Linked DNA regions of Caenorhabditis elegans. The protein of the gene in region 1 purifies or fractionates together with the protein of each later gene. This does not show direct contact. Each region holds a gene or a part of one and is shown on either strand. Other genes may lie near its edges.

Region 1 (7,838 bases):
AATAATGAATTTAAATAAATTTCACACTGAAAAATTGGTAAAATTTGAGATTTTAGCTGAATTTATAGTCTAAAGTATTACAGGAACACACAAAATTCAAAAAAAATCCATATTGCACAACATATTTGACGCGCAAAATATAACTATATCTCGTAGCGAAAACTACAGTAACCCTTTAAATGACACACTGTAGCGTTTGTGTCGATTTACGGCATCTCTTTGATTTTTTTGAGATTAATAATTTTAGTTTTTTGTACTATTTTCTCTTATTTTTTTAAAAAATATTCTATTGATAAATAAATTTTTTTTTAAATTTCAAAAAGCCCGTAAATCGACACAAACGGCTACAGTAGTCATTTAATAGATTACTGTAGTTTTCTTTTCGCTACGAGATATTTTGCGCGTCGGATATGTTGCGCAATACGCATTTTTCAGGATGTAGTGATTTTCCGAATCAAAGATGTCGGGTTTTCGATTTTTCAAAATAGTTGAAAAGCGGAAATTTTTTGATTTTTCAAAAATTGCTTGAAATTTTAGGCATTGTTCTTATTTTTTAGAATAAATATTTATTATTTTTCTCATCAAAGAACAAAATTAGATTTTTGAAAAAAATCATATTTTATAGTTTCTGAACTTTTTTTTTCGATTTTTCAGAAAATCAAAAAATCTAAAATTTATCGTTTTTCGATTTCAAATTTTTCGATTTTTTCTCAAAAACATCGAAAAAATCGAAAAACAAAAATTTTCGATATTTGGAAAAAAAAATCTAAAAATTTTCGTTTTTCGGTTTTTAAAAATTCGAAAATTTTCGTTTTTCGGTTTTTAAAAATTCGAAAATTTTCGTTTTTCGATTTCAAATTTTTCGATTTTTCTCAAAAACATCGAAAAACAAAAATTTTCGATTTTTGGAAAAAAAAAATCTAAAAATTTTCCTTTTTCGATTTCCAATTTTTCGATTTTCACGTGGTGGCAGGCTGTCCAATTACGGTTTGATCTACAAAAAATGCGGGAATTTTTTGCCCAAAAAATGTGACGTAAGCACACGTTGTTAACCATGCGAAATCGGTTGAGAACTCTGCCGCATTTTTTGTAGATCTACGTAGACCAAACCGAAATGAGGCACTCTGACCAAGGGTGTCGGTTTTTCGATTTTTCAAAAAATTGAAATCGAAAAATCGAAAATTCTCGATTTTTCAAAAAATTGAAAAATCGAAAATTCCCGATTATTCAAAAAATCGAAAAATAGAAAATTCTCGATTTTTCAAAAAATTGAAAAATCGAAAATTCCCGATTTTTCAAAAAATTGAAAATCGAAAATTCCCGATTATTCAAAAATCGAAAAATCGAAAATTCTCGATTTTTCAAAAATTAGCTCGAAATTTTCTTCATTTTTTGAAAAAATTTTAATTTTTTTCTCATCAATTATTTTTTATGGTTAATTTTTCGATTTTTCAGAAAATCTAAAAGTCGAAAATTTTTCAATTTTTTTCAGATTTTCCTCTAAAATTCTTCATTATTTTTCCACTCCTTCCACTCCAACCTTGGTCGCATCGGCTCCCGACGGTGCTGGATCCTTCGCCTCTCTAGTAAACCTGACAAGCTGTTTATCCTGAATCGTGCTCCAAAGCTTAAACTGAGCCCTCCACTGTTCGACAGAAACATTGGAATTCGCCAACACTAAACATCTCTTGTTAACCGTCGTCACAGCAGTCACTCCGACAAGCGTCTTTCCGGCTCCACACGGCAGAACAATCACACCACTTCTCGCACGACTATTTCCAAACATTTTCCGTAGGGATTTCTCCTGGTACGGACGAAGTGTAGTCGATGGTTTCAGATCAATTCCAAGGTTCGGATTCAAAGTGTCATTTCTGAAGTCGTACTCGGCGAGCAGTGGATACTCAAGCTCGATACATCGTTTTTGCACTGTTTCGATCGTTTCTTGTTTGATCTCAAACGTTAGAAGTTGCAAATTTCGAATCTCTGCGTCTTCCTCATCATCTCCATCGATTTTCCCGTAGAATTCATCAATATCAGCTGGAACTTTTCCATCTGTCGCCGCCGCCGCCGTACCGTCTGCTGCTGCTCCATCCTTTTCCACACCCTTCTCATTCTCATTTCCATGTGAGAATTTGATTTTTTCCTGTGCAGGAAGCTCGGTTTGCTGAGCAGGTTGCACACGATCATCTAGAATACACGACTGGATCACAGAGTCCTTGAGAAGCTTCTGCATAACATCGGAATGTCGCGATTCGACAAAGTATCTGTTATGCTTGAGCACAAGCTTAACCTTTCCGTAGCTCACAGTGCACATTTGAACGAATGTGATGACTCCTTTTGGCAGTTGACTTTTACTTAATCGTTCCAGGTATTCAATGATATCTTTTGTTTGTAGGCCAACTGATACAGCTGCGTAGAGAGAATAGGCAGTTAGCTGGTATTCGTGGATGTGTTGTGGACGGCAGACGGGCTGAAAATTGGAATATGTAGCAGGGATGGGTGGCGATTGCAGTTCGGCAAATTTTTTTCTCGATAAATTCTGCAATTTGCCGGACTTTTTAAATCCGGCACTTTGACGATTTGCCGGAAATGTCAAATTCGGCAAATCAGCTATTTACAAGACACGTTCAATTCCGGCAATTTGCCGATTTGCCGGAATTTTAAACTCCGGCAATTTGTCAATTTGCCGGAAACTTTCAATTCCGGCAATTTGCCGATTTGCCAAAAAATTTCAATTCCACCAATTTGCAGATTTGCCGGAAAATTTCAATTCCACCAATTTGTCGATTTGCCGGAAACTTTCAATTCTGGCAATTTGCAGATTTGCCGGAAAATTTCAAATCCGGCAATTTGCCGATTTGCCGGAATTTTAAACTCCGGCAATTTGTCGATTTGCCGGAAACTTTCAATTCTGGCAATTTGCAGATTTGCCGGAAACTTTCAATACCGGCAATTTGCCGATTTGCCGGAAATTTTCAATTCCGGCAAGTTGCCGATTTGCCGGAAAATTTAAATCCCGACACTTTGACGATTTGTCGGAAATTTTCAATTCTGGCAATATGTGTAAGAGATAATCGAAAAATTGAAAAATCAGAATTTCGATTTTTTTTTTTTGGAAAAATTTAATATTTGTTAATTTTAGGCTCAAATTTTCAGTCATTTTCCATGAAAAAAAAGTGCTGAACCTCTAAAATTGACCTGAAAAGCACTAATTTGGAATTTTTTACGGAAAAAAAAATTAAAAAATCAAAAAAAAATTGGCCAAACATAATTTTTACAAATAAATCTTTTCAGATGAATCAAATTTTTTTAAATGAATTTTTTTCAGAATTAACTGAAAAAAGACGTTAATAACCTCTGAAATTGCAATTAAAAAGTCCCTGGCGTGCTTGTAAACCGGGCTGAACGACTCGAGGAAAATATGACCATCCGGAGCAACCCACAGCGGTCTTGCAGTGAAATCACCCTGAAAATTGTGAATTTTCAATTAAAATTTGCCAATTTGGGTTGAAAAACTCGAAAAAAAGTGTTTTTTAACGATTTTTTGACCGAAAAAAACAAAAAAAAATAGCAAAAATTCGTAACTTTTTACATTTTTCAGACCGAAATTATTTTAGAATAAAGTAATTTTTACGATTTTCCCTGGAAATTAACCAAATTTTCGATATTTCGGGGGAAAAATCGTTAATTTACTGAAAATTGGGTGAAAAAATCATGAAAATTAGGGTTTTTTTGCCAAAAAATTGTAAAAATTGCCATTTTTCTGGGTTTTTCAAGCTTGTCAGACCATTTTTTCGAATTTTTAGAGCTTCTCCATACTTTCAATGGCATATCCTTTCGATAATCTTTGGCTCCAAACTCATCAGTCATCACTGACGACGCATTTTCTCCGTTCAAATTGTGCGAGGCAGCTTTTGGAACTAAAAATTTAATTTTTTAATTCGAAAATTTCCAGGAAAAGAGCCCCGCGTTACCAGAACTAGTTTCCTTGTCAGCATTTCCAGAATACAATGATGGAGCTTCTTCTGCTTTGTAGGTATCCCATTTTCCGCGTCGTTTTCGCTCTTTCGTCGCCATTTCTTTTGGAAAATTGAAAATTCGTCTAAAATACGAAAAAAAAGGAAGAAAACCGGGGGAGAAAAAGTACGCAAATACAGCGAAATTCACGACAATATGCAGACACAGGAGAGGAGCCAGAGGGGAGACATATAAATTTATAAAACAGCTAGTTCTTTTCACTAGACTTTCATAATAAAACAAAAAACAAAAAAAAAAACGAATATTTATAAATAAACATTTAATTCGATCCATATTGGGCGGCGGTGATCACGTGTACGTTGGGCGGCAGATTTTTGGGAAATTGAATGACGTTCGTTTCTTCGAAATAGACATTTCCTTCGCAGGCCACGGTGCGGCGAGACTCGATTTTTATAGTTTCGTGGACTGTTTCGACGGCTGAAATGGCTGAAATTAACAAAAAAATTGTTCATAATTATTAGAACGCGATCTCTCGCGGCACCTCACGAACTCCAGAATTCGCGGGAACTCGTTTCGCGGGGACAGCAGTTTTTGGCTTCTATAGGAAATTATTTTTATTTTTTTGTTTTATAATATTCTTGAGAAGCATCATCCGAATTTAAAATGTGTGAAATTATGAAATTTGACCGAAAACTGAAGGTTTTACAGGAAGGATTCGCTACGGCTTTCTTTAAAATGTATCAGAATCGTCAGTTTTTCGATTTCAGTCGTAAAATATGCCATTTTGTAGAGAAAAGTCTGTTTCACAAAAATCCATGTTTGACATTTCAAAATTGTTTTTATTTAAAACCTGAAAAATCGAAAAAATAAGCTTTTAAAGGTGGAGTAGCGCCAGTGGGGAAATTGCTTTAAAACACGCATATGGTACCACAATGACCGAATATCATGATAAAAATTTTTTCTAGATTTTATATGATTTTTTGAAAATTGAAAAAATCTCAGTTTTGCCTAATTCCTATTTGAATTACCGCCAATTGGATTTGTTCGATGGAGCGCGCTTGCACGTTTTTATTTTTATTTATTGTTATTTTTTCTTATTTTTCACCGACTTTTCATGTTTTCAGTGTATTTTTGTCTGAAATTTGAAGAAAAAGTCAAAATAAATGCTAATTTTCGATTAAACAGCACGCTTACAGGCGTTAAATTAAAAAAATGCATTTAAGCGATTTCGAACCCGAATTAATTAATTTCAAAAAATAGCATTTATTTTGACTTTTTCTTCAAATTTCAGACAAAAATACACTGAAAACATGAAAAGTCGGTGAAAAATAAGAAAAAATAACAATAAATAAAAATAAAAACGTGCAAGCGCGCTCCATCGAACAAATCCAATTGGCGGTAATTCAAATAGGAATTAGGCAAAACTGAGATTTTTTCAATTTTCAAAAAATCATATAAAATCTAGAAAAAATTTTTATCATGATATTCGGTCATTGTGGTACCATATGCGTGTTTTAAAGCAATTTCCCCACTGGCGCTACTCCACCTTTAAAAGCTTATTTTTTCGATTTTTCAGGTTTTAAATAAAAACAATTTTGAAATGTCAAACATGGATTTTTGTGAAACAGACTTTTCTCTACAAAATGGCATATTTTACGACTGAAATCGAAAAACTGACGATTCTGATACATTTTAAAGAAAGCCGTAGCGAATCCTTCCTGTAAAACCTTCAGTTTTCGGTCAAATTTCATAATTTCACACATTTTAAATTCGGATGATGCTTCTCAAGAATATTATAAAACAAAAAATCAAAAATAATTTCCTATAGAAGCCAAAAACAGCCAAAAACTGCTGTCCCCGCGAAACGAATTCCCGCGAATTTTGGAGTTCGTGAGGTGCCGCATACATCTGTAATCCCTGCGAGTTTCGTTTCTTCGATGGTGTTCCTTCAATGGACGTCGGTGGTTTTCTCGTCTCTTATCACGCCATTGATGCTCCGATCTCAAAGTGCCATTACTTTCAGATTTGGCGGGAGACTTCAGTTGCTCCATATCTCTCGACAATCCACGTGACGATGAGAAATCTTGAGTTGCGTAGGAATAGGCTCCATAATACGAGTCACGGGCCGCTTGATTAGCTTTTTTCACATCTTTTTGGTCTTCCGAGTCGGAGGACGGCTTGTCTGAAAAATGAAATAAAAAGATTTAAAAAAATAAATTTTTAGCTTCAAATAAATACCGTCAAAAAAGGATCCAGCTCCTTTACCGAACATTTCAAATGGCTCAGTTTCTTGTGTGCTCGGCGCTGGCCAAGGATTCGGTGCACGGCTCGTTTCTAAATTTCTTCCAAATAATTCTTCTACGGCGATTGAAGTCATTTTTTATTGAAAAACGCGTTTTAAAGTGAGAAATGCGTGGATTTGCGCATGAAAAAATTTTAAAACACACAAAAAAAAATTTGAATGACAAAAAATGTCGTGGCGAGACCCACCGCGCTACCGTACCCGATTCTCTGCGTCTCTCTCGATGTGTGTGCTGAAGAGCGGTCTCTCGGAAAACAAAATTTAATTTGTTTTGTTTTTATTTTATTTTGAAGTCGAAAATTTCCGTTTTCCCTATTGTTCAGTGTATTTTTTTCGGAGAAAATCAATAATTTGTCAGATAAATTGCATTTTCCATCATTTTCGCGCGAAAAAAACCGTCCAGTAACACATTTTCCGATGAATTTAGGCCCGAATCCCTGTTTTCTGGTTTTTTCTCAATTTTTGTTCGATTTTTCAGTGTTTTTTGCGCAAATAATCAATAATTTGCCGAATAAAGTGTATTTTCATTTGTCGCATAAAAAACACATTTTCTCGATTTTTTGGCAAAAATTCAGATACATTGCTAAATAAAATGTATTTTCCATGATTTTTCTCAGAAAATTCGTTCAAATGCGCCACAGACAACTTTTTGGCGCGCGCGCGCTTTTCAAAACCCGTTTTCCCTCATTTAAATGCATTTTAACCTCAATTTCTTCCAGAATGCCTCCGAAAAAAGCGCAAACTCGACGAATCGTCAGTCTGGATTCACTTTTTGGCCATACTCTACTGAATATCACCGGCGAACCTGTGACACCAACGAAAATCGCCATTTTTCAACTAATTCGCACACTTTTTCACGCACATTTCGGAGTTGGCGCGGTGCCAAGCCTGAAGCCTTTCGATAAGGATGAGAAAACTCGGTTTTTTGGAATAAAAATGTTGAAAATGAAAAATAAAATTTGGTTTTTCAGAGTATTCACAGTTCTCTATGGCTTAATCATCATGAAATCTGAAATTTCCTACGACGATTTTCGCTGTATCGTGAGAATTTTGAACGATGGGCTCGGGCGATCCATTTATTATCGATTTGTTACAAGGTTTTCTAGAATAATTTTTCAAAATTCCGAGTTTTTTCAACACAAAAAACGTGATTTTCGTAATTTTCAGCATGGAAAAGCTCGCGCACGGTGAAGATCAAATAGAAATGCTCTTTGAAGACGCATTCTACACTGCAAAACGTCCAAATCACGAGAAAGTGCTAAAACGTGAAGATTCTTGGCTCGACGAGCTCACTTTTATGAATAGCAACTCGTTTTTGTATATTTGGATAAAACGCGTCATGATGCAGTACACAAGAACCTCGCAGAATGGAACTTTTGAGATTGCAGAGAAATTCCAAAAATGGATTATTTCAGGAACTTTAGAGATTATGTATGAATTTTCACTGAAAAATTGCGATTTTTTGCCTTTTTTGGGTGGAAAAATTCCGTTAAAAATTCATTTTTTGGTCAAAAAATCGCAAAAATTGTGTATCTTTCCGTTTTTCTTTTCAGTAAAA
Region 2 (10,625 bases), on another chromosome or scaffold:
TCAAAATCTCAAAATTCCGTCAAATCCGGTGTTTCTGGGGTACTGTCGTCGGTGTTTGCGTACTCTTGGAGCTACCGTAACTCTGAAAATTTCAAAATTACTCTAGAATCTCCAACTTTTTGCGTTCCGACCCAGAATTTGACAAGAAATCCGAATATTGTCATGAAATTCCTATAATTCGTTGCGTAAAATGATTTTCTAACTGAAAACCTATTTTTTCTAGTTTTCAAAATTTTTTGTGTAGAAATTCGAGCTCCCCATCATCTAATTAGTCTACCCCATAATTTTCAGCTCAAAATCTCAAAATTCCGTCAAATCCGGTGTTTCTGGGGTACTGTCGTCGGTGTTTGCGTACTCTTGGAGCTACCGTAACTCTGAAAATTTCAAAATTACTCTAGAATCTCCAACTTTTTGCGTTCCGACCCAGAATTTGACAAGAAATCCGAATATTGTCATGAAATTCCTATAATTCGTTGCGTAAAATGATTTTCTAACTGAAAACCTATTTTTTCTAGTTTTCAAAATTTTTTATGTAGAAATTCGAGCTCCCCGTCATCTAATTAGTCTACCCCATAATTTTCAGCTCAAAATCTCCAAATTCCGTCAAATCTGGTGTTTTGGGGTACTGTAGTCGGTGTTTGCGTACTCTCGGCGCTACCGTAACCCGAAAATTTCAAAATTGCGCTAGAAACTTCAACTTTTCGTTTTCTAGACCAGAATTTCACGGAGAATTCGAATTTCGGCTTCTTTTTCCAGGTTGGCGACTCATTTCTGATCGAAGACGCCGTAGGCTCCTCGGCTCTCAAACGAACCGTCGCCGCTGGCAATCAGATAATGTCGTTCGGAAGAGGGAGAAATCGTGGAAAATGGGTGAGGGTCGAGTGGTGGATTCATCGAATTTCAAGCTTTTCCCAAATGGATCCGTATTGATTCGGCATGCCAAGATTGCCGATTCTGGAACTTATCAGAAGGATCCTAATGTGGGGAATTTTTGTAAAAAAGTTTCGATTTTTTTAAAGAAAAAAAAATCGATTTTACTGGAAAATTGCTCAAAATTTTGGGAATTTTGACACGATTTTCAGAAAAATCGCAAATTTTTTAGCAAAATTTCCTACTTTTTTGGAGGAGAGGGGCATAATTATTTTTTTAAAAATACAATAAAAATTACAATTTTCAGCCAATGATCATAATAATAATGGAGAAATGGGATACGCGCCGCCAATTCTCATCATTCAAGTGCAAAATTAATGATAATTATCGATTTTTTGAGGGAAAAAACAATAAATTAATAAATAATTGAGCATTTTCATAGGGAAATTAGTTACACAGTAAAAATGATAAAAATGATAAAATTATACCCGATAATATAAGAGAATTGAGGGATTTTTTTGAACAAAATAGGGGGAAATGCTCCAGAAATTTCGATAAAATGAGCTATAAGAAATTGGAATTTTTTTTTCGAAAAATACCGATTTTTAAATATAATTTTTTGTTTAAAAAATTCGATTTTTTTAAAAATCGAATTTATTGAACAAAATGTAGTTTTTTTTTTAGAAATTTCAACTTTTTTCAAATATTTTTTTTGGTTTTTAAAAAATCGATAATTTTTCGGATTTTTTTAAATTTTTTTAAAACAATTTCATTTTTCATATGAAAAAAATACTGAATTTTTGTAAGAAAAAAATCGATAGTTTTATGCAAATTTTTGTGGCTTTTCGTTAATTTTCTTCTGGAACTCGTCAAATTTTTCATATTTTTCAGTAAAAAATCAGAAAATTTGCCCATTTTTTAAATAAAAACTACTGAACAACTGTTGAAAAATAGCAGATAAAAGTGGAAAAATTCCGAAAAATTTTTTCGGTGATTTTCAGCTTTCAGGCAATTTTTAGGCTTATTTTTAAGACAAAAAACACTTTTTTTGGGATTTTTAAACATTTTTAAAGCTCAAAAACGAAAATTTTTAATTTTTAATTCAAAATACACATTTTTTAGATTTTTCGAATTTTTAGGGAAAAAATAAATAAAAAACAAACTTTTTTGGAATTTTTAAAATTCGAAAAATAAAAATTTCGATTTTTAAAATTTTTAGAGACTAGAAACGAAATTTTTACGATGTTTCTAATTTTTGCAAATTAAAAACGAATTTTTTGAAATGAAAAACAAAAAATTTCGAATTTTTCAAAATGTTCAGGCCAACAGACTTTTTTTTTTTTAATTTTCAGAAATTAAAAACGATTTTTTTTGAAATTTTTTAAAGTCGAAATACGGAAATTTCGAATTTTTAAATTTTTAGAGATTAAAATCCAATTTTTTAGATTATTTTAGACCAAAAAATGTTAAAAATTGCTCATTTTGTAGCAGAATTTCTGGAGCAAGGCGAAAAAAAAAAGCAAAAATCAATTAATTTCGTCATCAGAATCAACTGGCTGCTCGGCGAGCTCTCCAGGCATCAATCCAACACCTCCACCAGCCAACCATTGCTCTTTTCGTCGTTCATCAAGTGCTGGAATCAATGCTTGAATCCGTGCCAGCTGGCTTTTGTGATTCTCCCGTTCTTGCTCTGTCACTGCTACGAAATTTCGATCGACTTCTCGCATTATTTGATTGACTCTGGAAAATTTTTGGATTTTTTAGGAGAAAAATTGATTAATATCCAAATTTCAGCGGTTTTTTAAACTAAAAATTAATTTTTTTTTTCAAAAATCGCCGGAGCTTTGAAAAAAAAACCTTTTAGCCAAAAATTAACCGATTTTTCACTTTTTTCGAGCGGTTTTTATGCGAAAAATGGTTTTTTTTCGGATTTTTCTCGCAATTTTACATATTTTTACGCGAAAAATCGGGTTTTCAATAGATTTTTTTCAAAAATTTTCATTAAAATTGCCCGAATTTTTGAGCTTAAGCTTCATTTTTCAGGTTTCTAGCAAATAAAAATGCAAATTTTTGGGGAAAAAATACACATTTTAAGGCTAAAAACCCAATTTTGCTGTCAAAAAATGGCGATTTTTTACTATTTTTAGTGAAAAATTGTTTTTGTTGTCAATTTTTACCACTAAAAACGGTATTTTTTTTCCACTTAAAAACGATTTTTATGTCATTTTCGTTAGTTTTTCTCTGAAAAAATCCAAAATTTGGCTCAAAAATTGTATTTTTCCTGTTTTTTTTTGTGTTTTGAGTCAAATTTTTGCCATTTTTCGACAATTTCCAGCGATTTTCATTGAAAATGTGCAATTTTCCGGTGCTCTTCACTACCTCGTAACCGTCTTTTCGAGCTTTTCCAAATCCTCTGGACGAGCATCACGATGAGCCCACGAGTCCTCTTCGATTCCGATAAGTTTCCGAAGAAACTCGCGTAGAATCTCGTCGGATTTGCCTGAAACTAGTGCAAAATTGCTGAATTTTTCTATCGGAAATTGAGATTTTCGGATCTTAAATCTGAAATTCGAGTTCTCCGTGAAATTCTGCTATAGCACACGAAAAGTTGGAGTTTCTAGCGCAATTTTGAAATTTCCAGGGTTACTGTAGCCCCAAGAGTACGCAAACACGGAACACCAGATTTAACGGAATTTTGAGATTTTGAGCTGAAATTTTTGTGTTAGACTAATTCGATGACGGGGAGCTCGAATTTTTACACAAAAATTTTGGCAAAAATTTTGAAAACTAGAAAATCACTTTACGCAACGAATTTTAGGAATTTTACAGCGAAATTCGGATTTCCTGTCAAATTCCGCTCTAAAAGAAGAACATTTGGAGTTTCTAGCGCAATTTTGAAATTTCCAGGGTTACTGTAGCCCCAAGAGTACGCAAACACGGGCTACAGTACCCCAAAACACCAGATTTAACGGAATTTTGAGATTTTGAGCTGAAATTTTTGTGTTAGACTAATTCGATGACGGGGAGCTCGAATTTTTACACAAAAATTTTGGCAAAAATTTTGAAAACTAGAAAATCACTTTACGCAACGAATTTTAGGAATTTTACAGCGAAATTCGGATTTCCTGTCAAATTCCGCTCTAAAAGAAGAACATTTGGAGTTTCTAGCGCAATTTTGAAATTTCCAGGGTTACTGTAGCCCCGAGAGTACGCAAACACGGGCTACAGTAACCCAAAACACCGAATTTGACGGGATTTTGAGATTTTTAGCAGAAACTTATAGGGTAGACTAATACGATGACGGGGAATTCGAATTTTTACACAAAAACTCCCAAAATTTTCGATTTCTCGAGATCTTCGCCGTACCCTGAGCATGGAGCCCGAAATTAATGGCGGCCAGTGCAATCTGTGACGGTGGATAGAGGAGAAGCACGTCGGTTTGTAGTGCATTCTGGAAGAATCTCATAGAATCGCGGCGGATTGATTCGAGATCGAAATTTAGAAGAAGCATTCGGGTCTTCATATCCATTAGATGGCCTTCGTATGGCCTGAAAAATGGCGATTTTTAGGCTTTTCTAGTCTGAAAAATAAGATTTTTTTGGTTTTTGATCGGCTGAAAATTTGGATTTTTTCCGGGTTTTCGGCTTAAAAATGAAATTTTTTCGGGCTTTTTTCAGCTGAAAAATGGAAATTTTTTTTTAGGTTTTTTGCCTGAAAAATGAGATTTATAGGCTTTTCTAGTCTGAAAATTGTCATTTTTAGGGTTGTTTTAAGCTGGAAAATGTGATTTTTTTGGCTTTTTCGTATGCAAATTGAGATTTTTCACATTTTCTAGTGGAAATCTACGAAATTTTCAGATTTTTCTCAAAAATTGAACCAAGATCGAGGTTTTCTGGGGTATTTTGTAAGAAAAAAAAGGATTTTATAGCGCATTTTCAGCTCTAAATTCTTATTTTTATGAAATTGAATTTTTTCGGACAAAAATTGGATTTTTAAGCAATTTTGAGGTCTCGGAGCCGGAAAAATGCCAATTTTCTCCGTTTTTCGTGAAATTTTCGAATTTTTCCAGTATTTTCAGCGGAAATTGCTGGAAAATCCCGATTTTCCGTACCTATACGGGCAATGTACAGTCAAATTATAGTCGAGAATCTTCATAAGCTCCGGCTCCAGCTTCAAAATCCGTTCGGCATTTTGTCGAGGTTCTCCAACGCTGTAACTTCTGATAATGAGTAGCTGCCAGCGGCGATTATCAGGACTTACTTCATATTCTTCACGAAATCTTCGATTGTAATGTAGAATTCGTCGATTTTCATTGCCAAGTAGAAGCAAGCCATCATTACCATCTGAAATTAAGATTTTTAATGGAAAATTGATGGAAAATGTTGGAAATTCGGGGAATTTTGGGCAAAAATCGGCAGAAAATTGAGTTTTCTCAGTTTAAAAATCAAAATTTTAGCGATTTTTGAGTGAAAATGAGTTGAAATCCAAGTTTTTGCGTTAAAAAAATCAAAATTTTGCCGATTTTTGCGTTTAAAACAAAATATTTGGCAATTTTTACACAAAATTGAGTCGAAAAATAGGTTTTTGCGTTTAAAAGCCGAAAATTAGTCAATTTTACACCAAAAATCGCAGAATTTTTTCGTTTAAAACTAAAAAAAATTCGGAAGTTTGTATGAAAAAATTGAATTTTTGACAATTTTTGGGCAAAAATGGCCCGAAAAATAGGTTTTTTCGTTTAAAAATCAAAAATTCGGCGATTTTGACTAATTTTCAGCTAAAAATTCAATTTTTACCCTAATCGACGTGTCTGATGGCACCCAGACAAGAAAAGCCCGCTTGAAAAACGCCAAGGCTGTCCATTTCACTGATGGCCATATGTGTGGGCGGAATTTGTCGGCGAATCTGGAAAAATTTTGGTATTTGAGTGGGAAAATTGAAAATTTCAGGTTTTTTCGTGTGAAAATCGTTTTCTTTTGGGGTTTTCTCGACTAAAAAACTAAAAAAAAAATTTTTTTCAGAAAAAATAGCCAAAATTGTGAATTTTCTGCATTTTTTCTGAACTTCTATCGGAAAAATGGCAAAAATTCCGATTTTCTCAATTTTTCATAGAAAATAACCGAAATTCACAATTTTTGGTGCAAAAAATGCAGAAAATTGAGAAAAAATCGCATTTTTCCACATTTTCCGGTACAAAATTGTTTTTTTCATGGTTTTTTCGGATTTTTTATGCTAAAAATCCAATTTTAGCCGGAATTTTCGCGTTTTTCATGAAATTTTGACGGGAATTCTCCGATTTTTCGGTGAAATCCAGCAAATTCTAACTTCAAAGCAGCATCCTCAATTGATCTTTGCATTCTGAGCTCCTCTTCAGGTGTCACAAAGAGCTCCAACTCGTCCGGCTGCATTACTGACTCGTATTTTTGACGGAATTTTATGTTTATCTGCAAAAAAATTGGGCATTTTTAATTTTTTGAGGAAAAATTCAGGTTTTTTCAGTTTTTTTTTTAGGAAAAAGCGAAAAAAAATCCATTTTTCCGGAAAAAAAACGGTGGAATTCTCAGATTTTTCAGTAAAATTACAGGAATTTCTACTTTTTTTCAATTTTTCTCAGAAAAAAAAAACAAAAAAATAAATTTTTCCGGAAAAAACGTTGAAATTTCTAACTTTTCCTGAATTTTTCAGAGAAAATGAAATAAATGCTCAATTTTTCGAATTTTTAAATAAAAAATGCCGAAATTCTTAATTTTTCCAATAAAAATGACTAAATTTTCAACTTTTTCCGAATTTTTTAAATAAAAAATGCCGAAATTGTTAATTTTCCGTGTTTTAAGTGAAAATTTTGCTGTTTTTAGCCTATTTTCCATAAAAAATTCCAATTTTTCTACCTCCAAACGCATTGCGGCCAACTTTTCCGGTGTATACGTCCATTCCCGTTTTTGTGTGCTCGTCGCGTACATTTCTGAATTTTTGCCATTTTTTTGGCTGAAATTTTCGGTAAAAAAAAAGGTAATTCTGGGTGAAAACCAGTGAAAATTAGTGAAAAATGGGCAAAAAATCGACAAAATAACAAAAAAACGAGTCTATAACAAGAAAATTCCAACAAAAACCAGAAAAAAAATGTGAAAATTCAAAAAATTAACAAAAAAAAATTATTTCTTCTTATTCTTCATTTTTGATTCTCTCTGTTGCTTGTGAGATTTGCGATTTCCGAATTTTTGGAATGCTCCACGTCGTTTAGATTGCTCTTTTTGGCGAATTTCAGCGTATCTGGAAGGAAAATATGGAAAAATTGGAGCTTTTTGATATAAAAATCGATTTTTTCGGAGGAAAAATGTGATTTTTGAGCTATTTTCACACAATTTAACCGTTTGTTTTGCTCAAAATCCGAAAAAATTGAGTTTTTTTTTATTGAAAAATCGATTTTTGGGGGGAAAACCTGTGCTTTTTTCAGAGATTTTAGCGGATTTTTCAGGAAAAAATACTGAAATTCTCAAAATTTTCGATTATTTTCCGGAAAAAAACGTTGAAATTATCGTTTTTTTGGTCAAAAATCGTGTTTTCAGTTAAAAGTTTGCGGTTTTTCGCCATTTTTGGACAAAATTCGGCGAAATTTTCTGAAAATTCGGCTTTTTTTTGCTCCTAAAATCAAATTTTTCGGTAAAAATCTTGGAAAATGTTTTTTTTATTAAAAAAAAACCATATTGTAACGAAAATTCACCATTTTCCATCAATTTTAGCCAATTTTGAGCTCCAAAATCATAATTTTACGTTAAAAAACGTAAAAAACTGTCCATTTCCGGGTTTTTTCGACGAAATTTCGTCGTTTCAAGTGAAAATCGATCAATTTTCAGCATTTTTTTGGGGTTTTCGAGTCCAAAATCATAATTTTACGTTAAAAAAACGCAAAAACTGCAGATTTACAGGATTTTCGGCAAAAATTCGGCGTTTTGAGTGAAAATCGGTCAATTTCTACCGTTTTTAGCGAGTTTTTGCATTAAAAATATCAATTTCCAGGATTTTTGGCAAAATTTCGCCGTTTTGGGTGAAAATCGGCCAATTTTTATCCTTTTTAGCTCATTTTTGCTCTAAAAATCACGATTTTAACGTTAAAAACGCAAAAACTTGAATTTTTTCACAAAAATTCTTGATTTTCCCGTACTTTTTCTTGGCTTTGCTCAACGATTCCTCATTATGCAAAATCTCGTCGACCATCGTCTTTTTTCGCTCTTTTCGCACCATTCTACTCGAATAAAAGTCTTCTGGAGCGTCAACGACTCGTCCAACCTGAAAAATCTCGGATTTTTTGGGAATTTTTTAAATTTTCTCGAACTTGGAAGTATTTCGGCAGTACAGCCCGGTCATTTCGACGATAATGAGCCAATGGATCGAGAGTTGATCTCATTTGAAGGAATTCCAAATCTCGTTTGTGCTCATCGGTGAGCTCCGTCGCTGGAAGGTTGAACCAAGCGGATCCTTTGGTTTTTTCGCGTTCTGACTGGAAAAATAGCGATTTTTATTGGATTTTGAGCGATTTTAATCGAATTTTCATCGATTTCAACGCACTTTCTTCAGCCTGGCGGCCGCATTCCGGCCTAAAAGCCTATTTTGAGGCTGATGATCGCCTTCAAACTTCGGCCCGACAACTGACTTTTCCAGAAGCTCCTGCAAGTCCTTATCCATCTCATATGGCTCCAAATAGGATGTTCCGAGCAGGTCAACTGCCTCAAAAGCTCCTTCTTTTGGCGCTTCTTCACGTACGGCTCTGTCAACGACGAAATCATCGAATTCCTCGGCGACAGGCTTCTGAAAATCGATTTTTTTGGTGCTTTTCTGGGAAATTTTCGGTTTTTTTCGCTAAAAATTTGCAAAAATCGCCGTTTTTTGTGATTACTTGTTGCTTTTGCTTCTTTTTTGGAATTTCCTCGTCGGAATCCGAATCTTCGCTGCTTGAAACGTCGGGATTCTGCTGTTTTCGTAGCTTTTTGAAGTAGAGCGCAGACATTTTGAGCTGAAAATCATTCAATTTCAATTTTTATTCGAAAAAACTGGCGAAAAAGAGCGAAAACCGACGAAAACCCGGTGAAAACCTTCGAAATAAATAAATTAAATTAACCATATTCGCAATGGAGCGCGGATGCAACTCGTGGCCTAGAAAACTCCAACTCGGCCCCGAAGAGGAAAAACTCCAAATTTTCAAGATTTTCTCGGGAAATTGATGGGTTTTCGGGTTTTTTTGAGGGAATTTCGAGCAGAATCGATGCTTTTTAAGCTCCAAGCTTCAGAAATTGCGAAAAATCGGCAAATTTCAGCCAAATTCCAGCTTCAATGACAAAAAACTTTATAGAAAAGCTTCTAATTATATCGTTCATTATCATCTTTGACGTCTTTAGGGAACACTTTTTTCCAGCATTTTCCGCCGAAAATCCGATAGACCACACACTCTGCGTCTCCACGGCGTTACGTTATCTCTCGCATGCGAACCAACTTTTTCACCGATTTACCGGTCGTTGGCGATTTTCGGCGGCTTTAAAATGCGCAACGCAGGCGGTGATAAGCCATTCTCCACACCCGTTTTGCTTCGCGAAATGGGCTTGAAGACGCACGTTGATGATGATCCGAAGACTAAGGTGAGCGGTCTATTTCGAGTAGGCCTAATAGGCTTTCTAGGCCGTATAGGCTTGCCTTGTAGGTCCTCTAGGCGCCTGCCTTGTGGGTCTTCTAGGCCTTCTAGGCGCCTGCCTTGTAGGCTTTCTTGGCGCCTACCTTGTAAGCTTTCTAGGCCATCTGGGCGCCTGCCTTGTAGGCTTTTTAGGCGCCTGTTTTGTAGGCCTTGTAGGCCTTCTAGGTGCCTGCCTTGTAGGCGCTCTAGGCCTTCTAGGTGCCTATCCTTTAGGCCTTCTAGGCGCCTACCCTTTAGGCCTTCTAGACGACTGCTTTGGAGGCTTTCTAGGCCATTTAGGCGCCTACCTTAGAGGCCTTCTAGGCGCCTGCCTTGTAGGCTTTCTAGGCCTTCTAAGCTTATAAAAACTAAAAATCCATATCATTTCCAGGCCTACCGCCTTATCGGCTACGCCGCCGTCACCTTCTCCACAGTCTCGGTGATCTGTTTCTGTGTCACAATGCCAGTTGTCTTCACCTACGTCCAATCGGTAAAACGTCAGATGTCCCATGAGATGGCCACGTGCAACGTCAATGCTCGTCAGATTTTCGATGACGTTGCTGCTCTGCGAGCCGGCTTCCCATTCGCACAGGCAGGCAACCGTACCGCCCGTCAAGCTGGATACGATGTGCATCCGAGCAAGCCAACGCCTGTCGGATATAGTGGTGGAGATGCGGCTGCGGCGGAGGTGAAGGGAAATAGCCCGGCGGCCGCCTACGAGGATAAGCCGTTTGTTGCTGTTGGAGTTGAAGGTGAGGTTTAAGCCGTGTAGGCCTTGTAGGCGTTGTAGGCGCCTGCCTTCTAGGCCCTGTAGGCTTTGTAGGCTGCTTCGTAGGCGCCTGCCTTGTAGGCGATCTAGGCCTTCTAGGCGCCTGCATTGTAGGCTTTCTATGTGCCTGCCTTGTAGGTTTTGTAGGTCCCTGTCTAGTAGGCCTAGCAGGCGCCTACTTTATAGGCATTGTAGACGCCTGGCTAGAAGGCCTTCTAGGCATCTGCCCTGTATGCGCCTGCCTTGTATGCCTTGCATGCTTTTTAGCCGCCTGCCTTGTAGGCTTTCTAGGCGCCTTCCTTGTAGGCATTGTAGGCTTTTTAGGCG

Evidence for each region.
Region 2: the proteins of xpb-1 (region 1) and cyh-1 fractionate together in Caenorhabditis elegans (co-fractionation; one large-scale study listed by BioGRID). This does not show direct contact.

Annotation. Positions count from the first base shown.
Region 1 is NC_003281.10:11,522,921-11,530,758, reverse strand, and holds the start of xpb-1 (General transcription and DNA repair factor IIH helicase/translocase subunit XPB), read right to left. Parts: upstream 4,103-7,838; 5' UTR 4,078-4,102; coding exon 3,975-4,077; intron 3,921-3,974; coding exon 3,820-3,920; intron 3,467-3,819; coding exon 3,356-3,466; intron 2,471-3,355; coding exon 1,541-2,470; intron 1-1,540. Other genes in the region: Y66D12A.16 (Spen family transcriptional repressor), read right to left, coding at 4,298-4,464, 5,885-6,160, 6,217-6,355; such-1 (Suppressor of spindle checkpoint defect 1), read left to right, coding at 7,001-7,200, 7,252-7,377, 7,448-7,711.
Region 2 is NC_003280.10:3,501,221-3,511,845, reverse strand, and holds cyh-1 (Cyclin-H), read right to left. Parts: upstream 6,828-10,625; coding exon 6,756-6,827; intron 6,312-6,755; coding exon 6,193-6,311; intron 5,773-6,192; coding exon 5,664-5,772; intron 5,214-5,663; coding exon 5,131-5,213; intron 5,090-5,130; coding exon 4,982-5,089; intron 4,419-4,981; coding exon 4,237-4,418; intron 3,377-4,236; coding exon 3,250-3,376; intron 2,611-3,249; coding exon 2,397-2,610; 3' UTR 1,301-2,396; downstream 1-1,300. Other genes in the region: Y49F6B.19 (TransThyretin-Related family domain), read left to right, coding at 757-870, 1,178-1,300; Y49F6B.2 (Fcf2 pre-rRNA processing C-terminal domain-containing protein), read right to left, coding at 7,020-7,137, 8,030-8,154, 8,201-8,365, 8,434-8,673, 8,762-8,872; col-71 (Cuticle collagen 71), read left to right, coding at 9,402-9,497, 9,921-10,281.